Linked DNA regions of Nothobranchius furzeri. The protein of the gene in region 2 interacts with the protein of the main gene of each other region in a biochemical or structural test. Links are inferred from orthologs where the notes say so. Each region holds a gene or a part of one and is shown on either strand. Other genes may lie near its edges.

Region 1 (5,978 bases), on a different chromosome or scaffold from region 2:
AGGGTTGGTGTGACTGACATGTGTGGCAACACCGAAGAAGAACGTAAAAACCCTGACAACGTATTGGGAAATGAGGAAACCACTCTGTCCGAGTCTGTCAAAACACCCCAGAATATCACTAAGGTAGCGCTGAGTCTGCCTGAGGCGAAGCCCCAGGTGGCGTTTGTGACGCAGCTTCCTGCTCTGTCTCAAGATATCCAGCTGGCCGTCGTAGCCAAGACCCCCCCCGGCCCACAGGTGATCCCGGTCAGCAACAACGGACAGAAACGAAAGATCATGTCTGAGCCGCCATCACCCTCTTCTCCTCAAAGTACACACTCCCAATCAAAATGGCTGTTGAAAGACCACACCACCTCGTTTTCGTCCAGGCCGCGGGACGAGGACGAACTGTTTCTGCTGAGCTTCGTTCCTGCTCTGAAACGACTCGCACCCCAGACCAGGTGCGAAACAAAGATGAAGATCCAGCAGATCATGTATGAAGCAGAATTCAGCACTTCACCTGATGAGAGTCAAGAGAAAAGGACAGCGGCAGGAACACAGGACAAATCTTGAACTGTCTCTAGCCTGCACTTTCACACTTTTGTAGAATACACAGTTAATGAACCCAAATTAAAATCACACAAAGCTTCACCGTCAGTAGAAAAAAAAAACTCACATTCGGAAACATGTTTTTTCCAGCAGCCATTCTTCATTTTGATTATGAAGTCTACAATATTTTACATATAATTACAGTGAAATACAGAAACTGGAGTAGAAATAAAAGATTATAAAGTCTGGAGACGAACACTGTTTGAAATAAAGTTCTTTGAATTTCGCTTCCATCTGAAAGAAGTTAAAAAAATCGGCTAAGATACTGGTTTAGCTTAGCTGCTATTGGCCAAAAACACAAAGGTATTATTGGTCATTTCTCCAGGAAACAAACATCTTAATCATTAGAATCATTAAGTTGCATTAAAGTTTTGTGCAAAAAATTATTTTTGCTTCACAATAAATAGCTGAAGATTCACAAGTCAGTGTCTGGTTGCTCTTGTGCAGATTACAAAGTAGTTATTCAACCAGTGAGTCAAAATATATATTTTTTTCATTAATTCATTTCTGAGATTTTTGCAGCAAGAAGTGAAGAGAATACACAACTTCCCGATCTTCACATGCATTTTTTCCTTCGGAGCAGCAAAAAGTCTGCAGCTTTAACCTTTAGCCTGTTCATTTATCATACCTGCTGTTTAAATGTCCAAACTTTGCCAAAGATTAAGAGACGGAAACCTCACAAAGCCGCACTTCTGTCATTTCCCCCCATGCATTTATGCAATCAGCAGCCAAAACATAATGACCAGAGCAGCAAACAGAAAGAGTCGAGACAGGAACTGTTCATCTGTGTGCTGCGGCGTCCCAGGAGCTGCTGTGTGGGTGAAAGTTCAACAGAAGTTACTGGGTAAATTGTTTTCATAAGAAATGAAAGAACACAGAGGAAATGTGTAACCACCTGGAGGAGGTCGTCCATCATTGATGTTAAAAGCCGTGGCAAAAATACCGAACGGGAAGGCACCGATTCCAAAGGACATCTGGAAACCTCCATCTCCGAAGCCAAATCCCTGAAATCCCTGCAGGGATTTTTAGAAAAAAATGAAAACGTGTCATATAACAAAGTAAGAAAAAAAAAGTGTGACACAATGAGCAGTAAAAGTTGTAGTGATTCTCATGAGGGGCTTTATCTCAGCTGTTCACTAGTAATGGGTCCCAGAGGGAAATGGCTTTTCAGTCATGAATAAAACAGGTCTAAACGGCAGCACCTACATCATTTTTGACTCACGGTTTCATCATGAGCTCATTATAATACTCTAGAGCTTACACGAAACTTAATGTAGTTATTCACAATGATGGTTTAACTGTGCAGATGTATTTGTTTGTGTACTTACACCACGGTTTTCCGGCTCTGGTCTCTGTCCTTGTGGTCGAGGGGGCGTCCTTTCCCTTTGAAGCATCAAATCAGATATACACCGTAAAACACTAACATAATGATAATTCTTGCACCACAAGTGTGTTAATGTAGAAGTGTGATGACACAATAAATCATGTCAACACTTTTTAGCATCTACCTAGGATCCTGTTGACCCGTGCTTCCCCTCCCATACAAGGGGATTACTTTGTCCCGGCTGATGCCAGCTTTACACACCGGACACACTTGTCTGTTGGGTCGAGTCTCCAACCACTGCATGAAGATAAACGGATGTTAACGAGTCAACGGGTTAGCTAGGGGAACATCTTTGTAAATGAAAAAAAATCTAAGTCAGGCTTACCTGATGCAAACATGGCCAGCTGAACATCAGGAGCAAATGAAGTTCATGGAAGTGAAAAAAAAAAAAAAAACAGGATTAGTAAAAAAAAAAAAACCACATTGGAAAATATTCATGAAAACAAACATTAGATAAACTGCTTGTCAAAAAAACCCCAATTAAGGACAATAAAAATAAACACTAATTCTACTTGAATATTTCATACTAATTCAAACATACTGGATAACATTTAAGAGAAAATTAACAAATAATTACTTTGTATGAACACTGATCAGACCACTTTGGCTGCTAATTCATCAGCAAATTTTTGGACATAAAAATGACTAAAATGTTGTTTTGAAAGAGATTCAAGGATTTCACAAAAACATCAGCTAAAAGAAAACAGATAAGTTACCTAATCAGCTAGTAAATTGGCAACTGCCACTTTATTTGACAAAATAAGAGGATTAATTAGATGTTCCAGAACTTTAAAAAAATGTAAACTTTTTCTGATTAGTCATATAAAATGAAAAACACTAAAAACAATAGTGAAACTGTATTCTCGTGCAATCTTCAAACATTTTTGCTGAAGCAAACTGTGAAATAAGTATTTTTATTATTGATGTTAGGAATATAAATGGCTCATAGGCGCCTCGTGATTTTTATCTTGAGAGGCGCTATAGAAATGATACTTTCTTCTTAGACAGACCTGGTAGAACTTAAAACTGTTTTTTCCGCACAGTTTAATTGAAGTGGTAAAACCGGAGACAACATTTTGGTTCATGCTGTACTGCTGAGTTTAGTTCACTTGTGTCCAGCCGCTAAAACTGAGGTGGTTTCTGATTTCACAATGTAAACATAAGTAACATATTTAAATCTTACCAGAAAAGGTGGCCACACAAGCTGATCACGGCATCCTTCGCTGTGTCCAGGCATATGTTGCATTCAAAGGTGCTGTCCTGGCTGCCTCCGTCGGCCGCTGCCGAGCTACTGGATCCCGGGCCGGAGTTTTCAGGAGCCGAGACGGTGGAGCCAGAGACTGGTGGAGAGGGGGCAGCGGCGGCCATTTATTTGCTAAAAGTCGGTCCAATATTCAAGCTAATACGGTTGGGATGGCTCTGTTCGTTCCTGTCAAACACATAAGAAAGTGACAGGAACTGACAGAAGTGGTCTCCCACTAAGAAACCTGAATAAAAGAAAGGAAAAGCTAACTTTGTGTCATCTGATAGCTATGCTACCGTTAGCAGCTAGCAAGCTAGGAGAAAGGCTAAACGAACTGAGGCGTAAACCGAACCACATATACAATTATTACAGTGGCTAAAGGAATATTTCAACATACATTTTGTAACATAGCCTCATTAAAACTTAATTATGACTTGTTGCGAAAATAGCCTTACAGCTGGTTGCAACACTTCCGCAGGGTGTTAGCCCTAAAAAAGAGTAGGACTAAAAAAAAACGTGGCTGTTTCTTTAAAAGGCGTGGCTATTTCTAAAGGGGGTGGGGTTACCTTGTGTCCGGATTAGTGACGTAAAGAAAAGTAGATACACAAAAACAAAAAACTTACTAATAGTTACTCTTGTGATGGAGAATGTTGCACAAACAATGTCTTCTCATAATTATGGAATTTATTGTTTCTGACATAGGTTTGTGAAGAAGTTGGTTGTAGACTGATGTTTAATTCCTTCTATAAGAGTGATTTTTTGCTTATGCGCCAAGATAATGTTTGTCTGAGGGGTATCCATAGACTGTACATACGGGGGTATCCCAGAAACATGTAGCTAGTACTGTTGCACGATATTAGGAAAACCTGCAATGCGCGATAACAGCGATTAATATCTCCATGATGATATGACTAGAAATAAACAAAAATAAATAAATAAAAATAAAAAATACAACGAAATAGAAAAATATAGAAAATGGGCAAAGCAAAAATTGTGATCAAAAGATGTGAGGAAAAAGGAAAAGACAACTAATAAGACAAGGCAATCAGTAGATCCTGGGAAAAGCTAAATCAGCAGAAAGAGCAAAACAAAGCTAACTTGTATGTTAGCCATCAAAGTCAAGTGTCGTCCGCCTAGGGGGCAGGCATCTAACCTATAGAATCCACCCGATATGCCAAATAGGTAAGGCTCTATTTGATCTGTCAAAAACATATGCTTCTGTTTGATTGACAAAATGCATTATGTGTAGCAAGCATTTGAGCTGACCATTTATTGTGATGTTTTCTGTTCATTGTGATACGTGTTTTGCACATGCCGATATCGCAATCTATTCTATCATGCAGCCCTAGTTGCTAGATGGTATATTGTTAATTCAGTCATAAAATTTAAATAAAACAAATAAGGGTTTTACCTTCTTTGCTCCTTTTGTCGTATCAAGAATGAAACTTTAAATCAGCTTTTTTGAGAATTTCTTTTGGATATTCTGGAATGATTTAACCCATTTTGAGCAGAAACTGATGTGCACCTTAAACTCAGAATTTTGCATATTCTATTTAACTTAGTTTTTAATTTTTAAAATTCATGTTTATTGACTATTTTAAATATGTCAGTATTGTTTCTAAGCAAAAACCAAGTTATTTTCATGAAAGATGTTACACAAATCCCAAAGCTGAGAAAAATAAATCCTCACGTATAGGCACAACCCATATTTGGTATTTTTTAATTTTTTTCTATGAGTTAAATTTCATCATTGTAAATGTTTATTGTAGGTAAGGCTTATTTTTAAAAAATCACAAATTTTATTTCGACACTATGTCTAAAAAGTAATTTTTGCTGATCCATCGCACCCATAAAGCAACAGCAATCACAGTTGGTTGTTTCTTTTCTATTTCTATGAAAACAGATACACAAATCAAAGGCACAATCTATTTTTGTTAGTAAATTATTAATTTACGATTTATAACATTAATTATAAATAAATCATCATAAATGCTGCCACATTCTTTTTTTTACCCTCAATTAGCAAAAACATGAAAAAAACAACATAAAACAAACAAAAGTCATTCACGTTGTAGAAACAGTCTTATTTCTCATTCCTTTCTTATTTATTGTTCTAATATACAAGATTAAAAGTTGTTTTCAACTCCGTTACAATAGTATTTGTTTTGATGAGAGAAACGGTTATTCTCCTCATCTCTAATAATTACATTTTAGGCACACTAAAGGCCTAATTTAAGTTAAAGACAAACGTATCAGCCTAATTTTAATGGATTTCCATTGACCTGGACATTGACTGGTTGTAACCAGCTGTACGCAGATCTTCTGCCATCGCATCCTCAAACCTTGAGGTCAGCGATCTCTTTAGAGTTTGATTGAAGTCACTGCCAATAAAAACGTAGAGAATGGGGGATATGAAGCTGTTCGACGCAGCCAGGGCGACCCCCACTTTCAGGCCAGATTCAAGCACATTCAGGCTGTGTTTGTTAAAGTCCAGCTCCAGGAGAATGAAGGTATGATAAGGGATCCAACAGAAGAAAAATGACAGGATGAGCGCCACCATGATTTTATAAGGCTTTTTTGATCTGATGGTTAAACTTCTCAGCTTCACTCCAAGCACCACACAGCAGCACACGATCATCAGGCAAGGAATTAGGAATCCAAAGACTAACCGAATCAGCGCCACTGCCTTGTGTCTGGAACGACTCCCATACTCCGTGTGGCACTGAATGATTGGACCGTGGACTTTGGTCTCCTTGAAGATGA
Region 2 (6,108 bases):
GTCTGGATGAAAACTAAAATGAAATGTGTGTGTTAGGATGTGTGAATGGGATCTCAGAAGGTTTCTATCAGAGAGAAAACGCATTCTGGGTGAAAGAGTTTGTTTTGCAGCTGAGCTAAGTTATTTCTTAAAGAAACAGGCATATGGACGCAATCTGTCGGAAGTGTCTACCTCACCCAGTTAGGAGACCCCCTTTTGGATCCGAGATGTCAGGTGGGATGATGAACCCCCAATCACGAGGTGGGTAGAAGAACCTTAGTGCGACCAAATCGGTCCTGAGATGTCTCTGGGTCACAATGACTGATGAAACTGGTTGCGTCTCAAAAATCAATAACTCTGAAGGAGTTTTGCGTCAGCTGGTTGCAGATGGCGTTTTGTCGGAGCAATTCAATCAGCGCGACAGAACAGCTTAGTAGAGGTCGAATGGCTGACCCGATCCTCTGGGACTCTCGTGCCACGGAGAGATTTTGGTGAGCTCAAGAACTGAACTTAAACTGAGGAGTTTAGGTTTTAGCTAAACTCAGGACACACCCTCTCAGAGATAGAATGCTTTGTTATGGAGCAAAGACATGTGAGAGCAGTTACATTTAACCCTGATGTATGTGTCCTGCATGATGTGTATAAGTGCACATGACCTTATTGTCACTGATCAAACATTGCTGATTATCATAAATAATAATTATTATTAACCAAAGAATAAGAATTCATTTCAGTAATTAAATACATTTATAATGAACCGTGATGATTATTTATGAACCTTGTAATAGACAGTGAAAAGATTTTATTTAAAATGATTTTTTTTTATCTTGACGTGTCCTTCATCTTGCGGATGGAACAGAATCAGATAAAAGGCAGTCAGATTAAAGATGGTTTACAGCAGACTTTGTGTCTCCTGTGATGGATAATCTGTGAATAAAAGTACAGCCAGGACAGCTCGACCTAGCTGAGGAAGTGTGACCTTTGGGTCACAAATGAGGCCATTCATGTCGCTACAACTGTATTTACTGCATAATATCAACTGATAATTGTAAGTATAAAAGTGTCAGTAATAAAAAGCCAATTTTTGTAATATATACGTTGATTGAAAAACTAAGCCTTTGTGGGTACTGAATTTGGCAAATATGATTAAGCTTTTTCATGAGTTAACACTTGTTTTAGATCCCCAGTTTCTACCTGGGATTCAATTCAAACCTAGTTTTGGCAGAAGAGATTAAATTCACTTATGTGTTGCAAAGATCTTTCCTAAACACAGGAAAACCCTTATCACATTGCTCCTTGATAGAGTCAGCAAGTTTAATACATTGGTTCTTTCCAACCCCAGAGAGCAGATTCTGTTTGGGAATGAAAAAGTTGCAGAGTTCACCAGTTCTCAGGTGGCTTTCAAAGTCCTTCAGAAGGACCTCGAAGCAGTGACTCAGATCTGAAGCCCTCCATTCACCATCTTTGGTTCTGGAGCAGCAGGCATGTAAGAGCATAGTCTTGACGTGGTAGGAGCAGAACTTGACAAAGGAAGAGTCTTGTTCTTTCAGTAGATGCAGAAGATGCTTGAGGAGCTTTAAGCAGTTTTTCCTGTTTGCAAAAAGTATTTTGACAACTTTAAAGTCAAAACTAAACTTAGCTGAAGGCAAATATGATGATGATGACAATTTAAATACATTTTTTTCTTCTGATTGCTAGAAGTACTAGACTTTCTGCAAATAGATATTTTGCAACAGTATTATAAAAAACTGTACTGAAATTATACCATTGCTGTGTACCTCAGTGATAAGTGAAAACTGTTGAAATATTTATTTTTCTCCATACCTTAATTAAATCTAAATTTGCATTAGGCCTTCTGCACAATGCTGGTCTGTTGTTGTTTTAAGTTCATAAAATTCTGACCTGCAGCAGCTCTCTCCAGCCTTTTCACAGCACGTTCTCTCTGATCCATGATTCTTCATAATGTCCTTTTCAATGTGAGAAAAGGAAACCCGCCAAACATCTGTGTCACAGAGAACAAAACTATCTGTTAGACACCATTTTAGATGCCGGGAGACAAATTGAGTTCATGTTGAGTTTTAGGCAATGGACTTAATATGTCGAGGTGCAGTTTTTCTTCATCTTTATTACATGGCATTTCCTGTTACATTCATAGAAATAAGTATCAATACATTTCTCATTCTTACTTTTTGCAAGGACTCCACCTTTTTCTGCATCCCCCCTTCCTTCATATTTTGGGACAAGGTAATATGGCTTCCATTTGTAGTTCCGTTTTGCTTTAGTTCCAAGCCACCCCTCAATTTTAAAACCATCTTTGGTGAAAGTTGGCCAGGTTGATTTAACTTCAAGACAGAGCACAACATCTAGAGAAATGATGACTGACTCTACTTTTCTTGTCAGAGTCACTGCAGGGCAGCGTGGTTTCTTTGCCGTCATCTCCCATTCTGCAACAATCAGTTATGGTAAGCATAAACATGCTGCCTGTTATACATGGAATCACTTATTCAGTACTTTATACACAGCAAAATTACATTATATCAATAATGTATATTAGGATAATATTGACGTTAAAAGCAACTTACAAAATGCATTTTTGCCACCGACCTGGAAAGACTTTTGCAAATTTTTTCACTTCCTTCCGGAACTCTTTAAGCATTTCATAACTAGACAAAATGTTGTCTTGCTGGAATTTCTTCAAAGGGTTCTCATCACCAGTTGGATCACGTTTCAATGCCACACTGTAGAAGGCTCCATTGTCGTCGAAAGGCTCGATATTAACTCGCTCAACCGGTATGGGCAGCATGACATCAAACTCATCAGGATTAGAAATCTGTACAGACATAAATATGATCATGTAATAGGGAGCTGACTTTAATCCAATCTGCCCCATGAACCACATGTTCACTGTTGAATTTGGGGAGTAAACTCAACTTACCTTCAGATTTTCATAATAACTTCCAGTGCGAAGGGGTTCCTTAACATTTTTAAAACGTATAGAATGGTCTTTTAAATACTCGATCAGATGCTTCATAAAATAATTGATGACTTGCGATGAATCTGATCGTTCCTTACTCCTAATCTTCAAGTTTTCTAGAATCTTCTTAAGAGTACAATCCACGTCGTCATCTGTCCTGTCTTTTGAGGAATTGTAAGTCTTAACTAATAGTGCCTCTGTTCTCTTCTGCAGGACTTTGTCGTTACATTTCTTGGCTTTCATAGCAGCAGGTGTTTTAGTTTGTGTTGCAGTCTTCTCTGGAAGTTGTTCTAGTTCGGTTGGGTCCTTGTTCTGACCTTGTAATTTAGCTTTACCATTGGCTTTGGGAGATGTCTTTTTCAAACTCTTTTGTATCTCTGGTGGCGTGTCTTGTTGAGTGTTCTGCATATCCCCTGGAGGGTTGTCCTGTAATTTTCTCCTAGTAGAGCAGGTTTTTGCTTTTATATTTTCTTCAGGCATCACTAGCTGGTTGTGAATCTCCTCTTTGTTTTTTGTTTTCCCAGCCATTGGCACCGATGGCTTATCTTCAGTGTGGTTTTTCTTTTGCTGATCCAGTCTTTTTGATGTCTTTGCAGTTTCATTCTGCTTCTCATTTTTAAAGGTTGTACATCTCCCTGAAGGTGCTAGTTTGAGTTCTTTAGGTTTTGAGTCAGGACTCTGTGCCCTCTGTGGTCTTTCTCTGCCAGCCATGGTAAAATGACTTGGCTGAAACTGCTACGCGCTGTAAGAATGCACATCTTGTTACGCCCCTTTTGTATTTTGTCAGATTGCCCTTGAACTGATTTTTTACAACTACCACTTGACTTGTGTGTCATCATAGATTAGGTAACTCGCTGGCATTGAAAAAAAATTTTTTAAATGTGAAAGTTTTTTACTTTTATTTCTTTATCAGTAGCTACATCTAGTGGATAAAAGTTTGTATTGCAACAATGTGTTGTCAGACTTTACAGCTGAAAGTTTCAAGATATGTTTCTTGTAATTTCTTGTATCAAATATACACCCAATTCTGGAAGATGATGTGATGTAAAATTTGATCATAGAGTCTCGCAGAGAAGAACTTTGTTACAACAGGCAGGTTCCTCTGTGTCCAAGATTATGAGAAATTATTTTTCAGTGTTTCCCTCCTCACACACTCTGAAGTTATGGAAGTAGATAAGGCAACCAATGTGGAGATGCAGGTCTTAGCTCTATGTTCTCATTGTTAGGAACTTTGAAAGGGAGGAGGATGGAAGTATTTAGAATGCTGCATGTTTAATGTTAAATATAAATATACATGGAAACGGTGTTCACTCGCCCAGACGTGGGTCACCTCACCACCACCACCACCCACCCCCCGGAGCCGGACCTGGAGATGGGGCACGTTGGTGAGCACCTGGTGGCCGGGCTTTCATGGAGCCCAGCCGAGCACAGCCTGAAGAGGAAACGTGGGTCCCCCTTTCCATGTGCTCACCACTCGTGGGAGGGGTGAAAGGGGTTGTGTGCAGTGTGTGACGGGTGATAGCCGAGAGTGGGGACCTTGGCGGTCTGACCCTCGGCTACAGAAGCTGGGTCTTGGCAAGTTGAATGTCACTTCTCTGGTGGGGAAGGAGCCTAAGTCTGTGTGCGAGGTTGAGAGGTTCCAACTAGATATAGTCAGATTCACCTGAACGCATGGCTCTGGCTCCGGAACCAGTTTCCTTGAGAGGGGTTGGACACTCTACCACTCTGGAGTTGTTCCCGCTGAGATGCACCAAGCAGAGGTGGGCATACTAGTTGCTCCCATCTTGGTGCCTGTACGTTGGGGTCTACCCAAGTGAACGAGAGGGTAGCCTCCCTCCACCTATGTGTGGGGGGACGGGTCCTAGTGTGGTTTGTGCTTATGCACCAAACTGCAGTTAAGACTACCCACCGTTTTTGGAGACATGGCGGGAGTGCTGGAGAGCGCTCCTTCTGGTGATGCCCTCGTCCTGCTGGGGGACTTTAGCAGTGCGCTACCAACACTTTATAGTGGGAACCGTGTGCTGCTGACCTCGACTCGGGACATTGTGGATTGGCAGGCGGAGTAGTTGAAGACCTCTCCAATCCCATCGGCACGTCTTCCAGTGAGGAAGCAGAGTTTGGGGACTTTGGGTTGGACTCTCCAGTCACTGGTGCTGAGGTCACTGAGATGGTCAAAAAGCTCCTTGATGGCAAGACTCCAGGGGTGGATGAGATCCACCCGGAGTTCCTTAAACATTTTCAAAATGCTTTTTTTCTATTTTTACAATTTTCATAGTTTTTGTTTTTGTGAAGCGCCTCATGATTTTTATCTTGAGAGGCGCTACAGAAATGATATTTTCTTCTTCTTTGTCTTAAGGCTCTGGATGTTGTGGGGCTGTGTTGGCTGACGCTGCTCTGCAATATTGCGTGGACATTGGAGGCAGTTCCACTGGACTGGCAGGCTGGGGCGTTGGTTCTCATTTTTAAAAAGGGGGACCTTAGGGTGTGTTCTAACTACAGAGAGATCACACTCCTGTGCCTCCCTGGTAAGGTCTATTCAGGGGTCGTCGAAAAAAGAGTCTGTCGGATTGTCTAACCTTTGATTCAAGAGGAGCAATGTGGTTTTTGTTCTGCCCGTGGAACACTGGACCAGCTCTATACCCTTCTGGGTTCTGTAGGGTGGTGGGAGTTTGCCCAACCAATCTATATGTGTTTGTGGATTTGGAGAAGGTGTTCGACCGCGTCCCTCAAGAGGCCCTGTGGGGGGTATCTCACGGGTATGGAGCTCCAGGCCTTCTGAAATAGGCTGTTAGGTCCATGTATGAAAGGTGTCCGAGCTTAGTCCACATTGCTGGCAGTAAGTCAAGCTCTTTTATCTGTGAGAGTTGGACTCCGCCAAGGCTGCCCATTGTCATTGATTCTGTTCATAACTTTAATGGACAGGATTTCTGGGCGTGGCCAAGGTATTGAGGGGATCCATTGTGGTGTCCTTAGGATCGGGTTTCTGCTTTTTGCTGATGATGTGGTCCTGTTGGCTTCATCAGAACGTGATCTCCAGCTTTGCCTGGAGCGGTTCACAGCCGAGTGTGAAGCAGCTGGGACAAGCATCAGCTCCTCTAAATCTGAGACCGTGGTCTTGAGTCGAAAAAGGGTAGAATGCCTTCCAGCTCAGCTTT

Evidence for each region.
Region 1: of the proteins of cgasa (region 2) and rnf185, one has a biochemical effect on the other in vitro, tested with the Homo sapiens proteins (2 studies listed by BioGRID). The link is inferred for Nothobranchius furzeri from reciprocal best matches to the Homo sapiens genes CGAS and RNF185.

The regions. Positions count from the first base shown.
Region 1 is NC_091746.1:52,068,849-52,074,826, forward strand, and holds rnf185 (E3 ubiquitin-protein ligase RNF185), read right to left. Parts: upstream 3,765-5,978; 5' UTR 3,671-3,764; exon of another isoform or gene 3,402-3,670; 5' UTR 3,341-3,401; coding exon 3,156-3,340; intron 2,317-3,155; coding exon 2,298-2,316; intron 2,210-2,297; coding exon 2,097-2,209; intron 1,972-2,096; coding exon 1,917-1,971; intron 1,602-1,916; coding exon 1,484-1,601; intron 1,400-1,483; coding exon 1,302-1,399; 3' UTR 667-1,301; downstream 1-666. Other genes in the region: transcription factor Adf-1, read left to right, coding at 1-552; chemerin-like receptor 1, read right to left, coding at 5,479-5,978. UniProt on the Homo sapiens protein: E3 ubiquitin-protein ligase that regulates selective mitochondrial autophagy by mediating 'Lys-63'-linked polyubiquitination of BNIP1.
Region 2 is NC_091752.1:28,109,515-28,115,622, reverse strand, and holds the start of cgasa (cyclic GMP-AMP synthase), read right to left. Parts: upstream 3,711-6,108; 5' UTR 3,665-3,710; coding exon 2,915-3,664; intron 2,810-2,914; coding exon 2,584-2,809; intron 2,424-2,583; coding exon 2,166-2,423; intron 1,982-2,165; coding exon 1,882-1,981; intron 1,570-1,881; coding exon 1,221-1,569; 3' UTR 1-1,220. UniProt on the Homo sapiens protein: Nucleotidyltransferase that catalyzes the formation of cyclic GMP-AMP (2',3'-cGAMP) from ATP and GTP and plays a key role in innate immunity.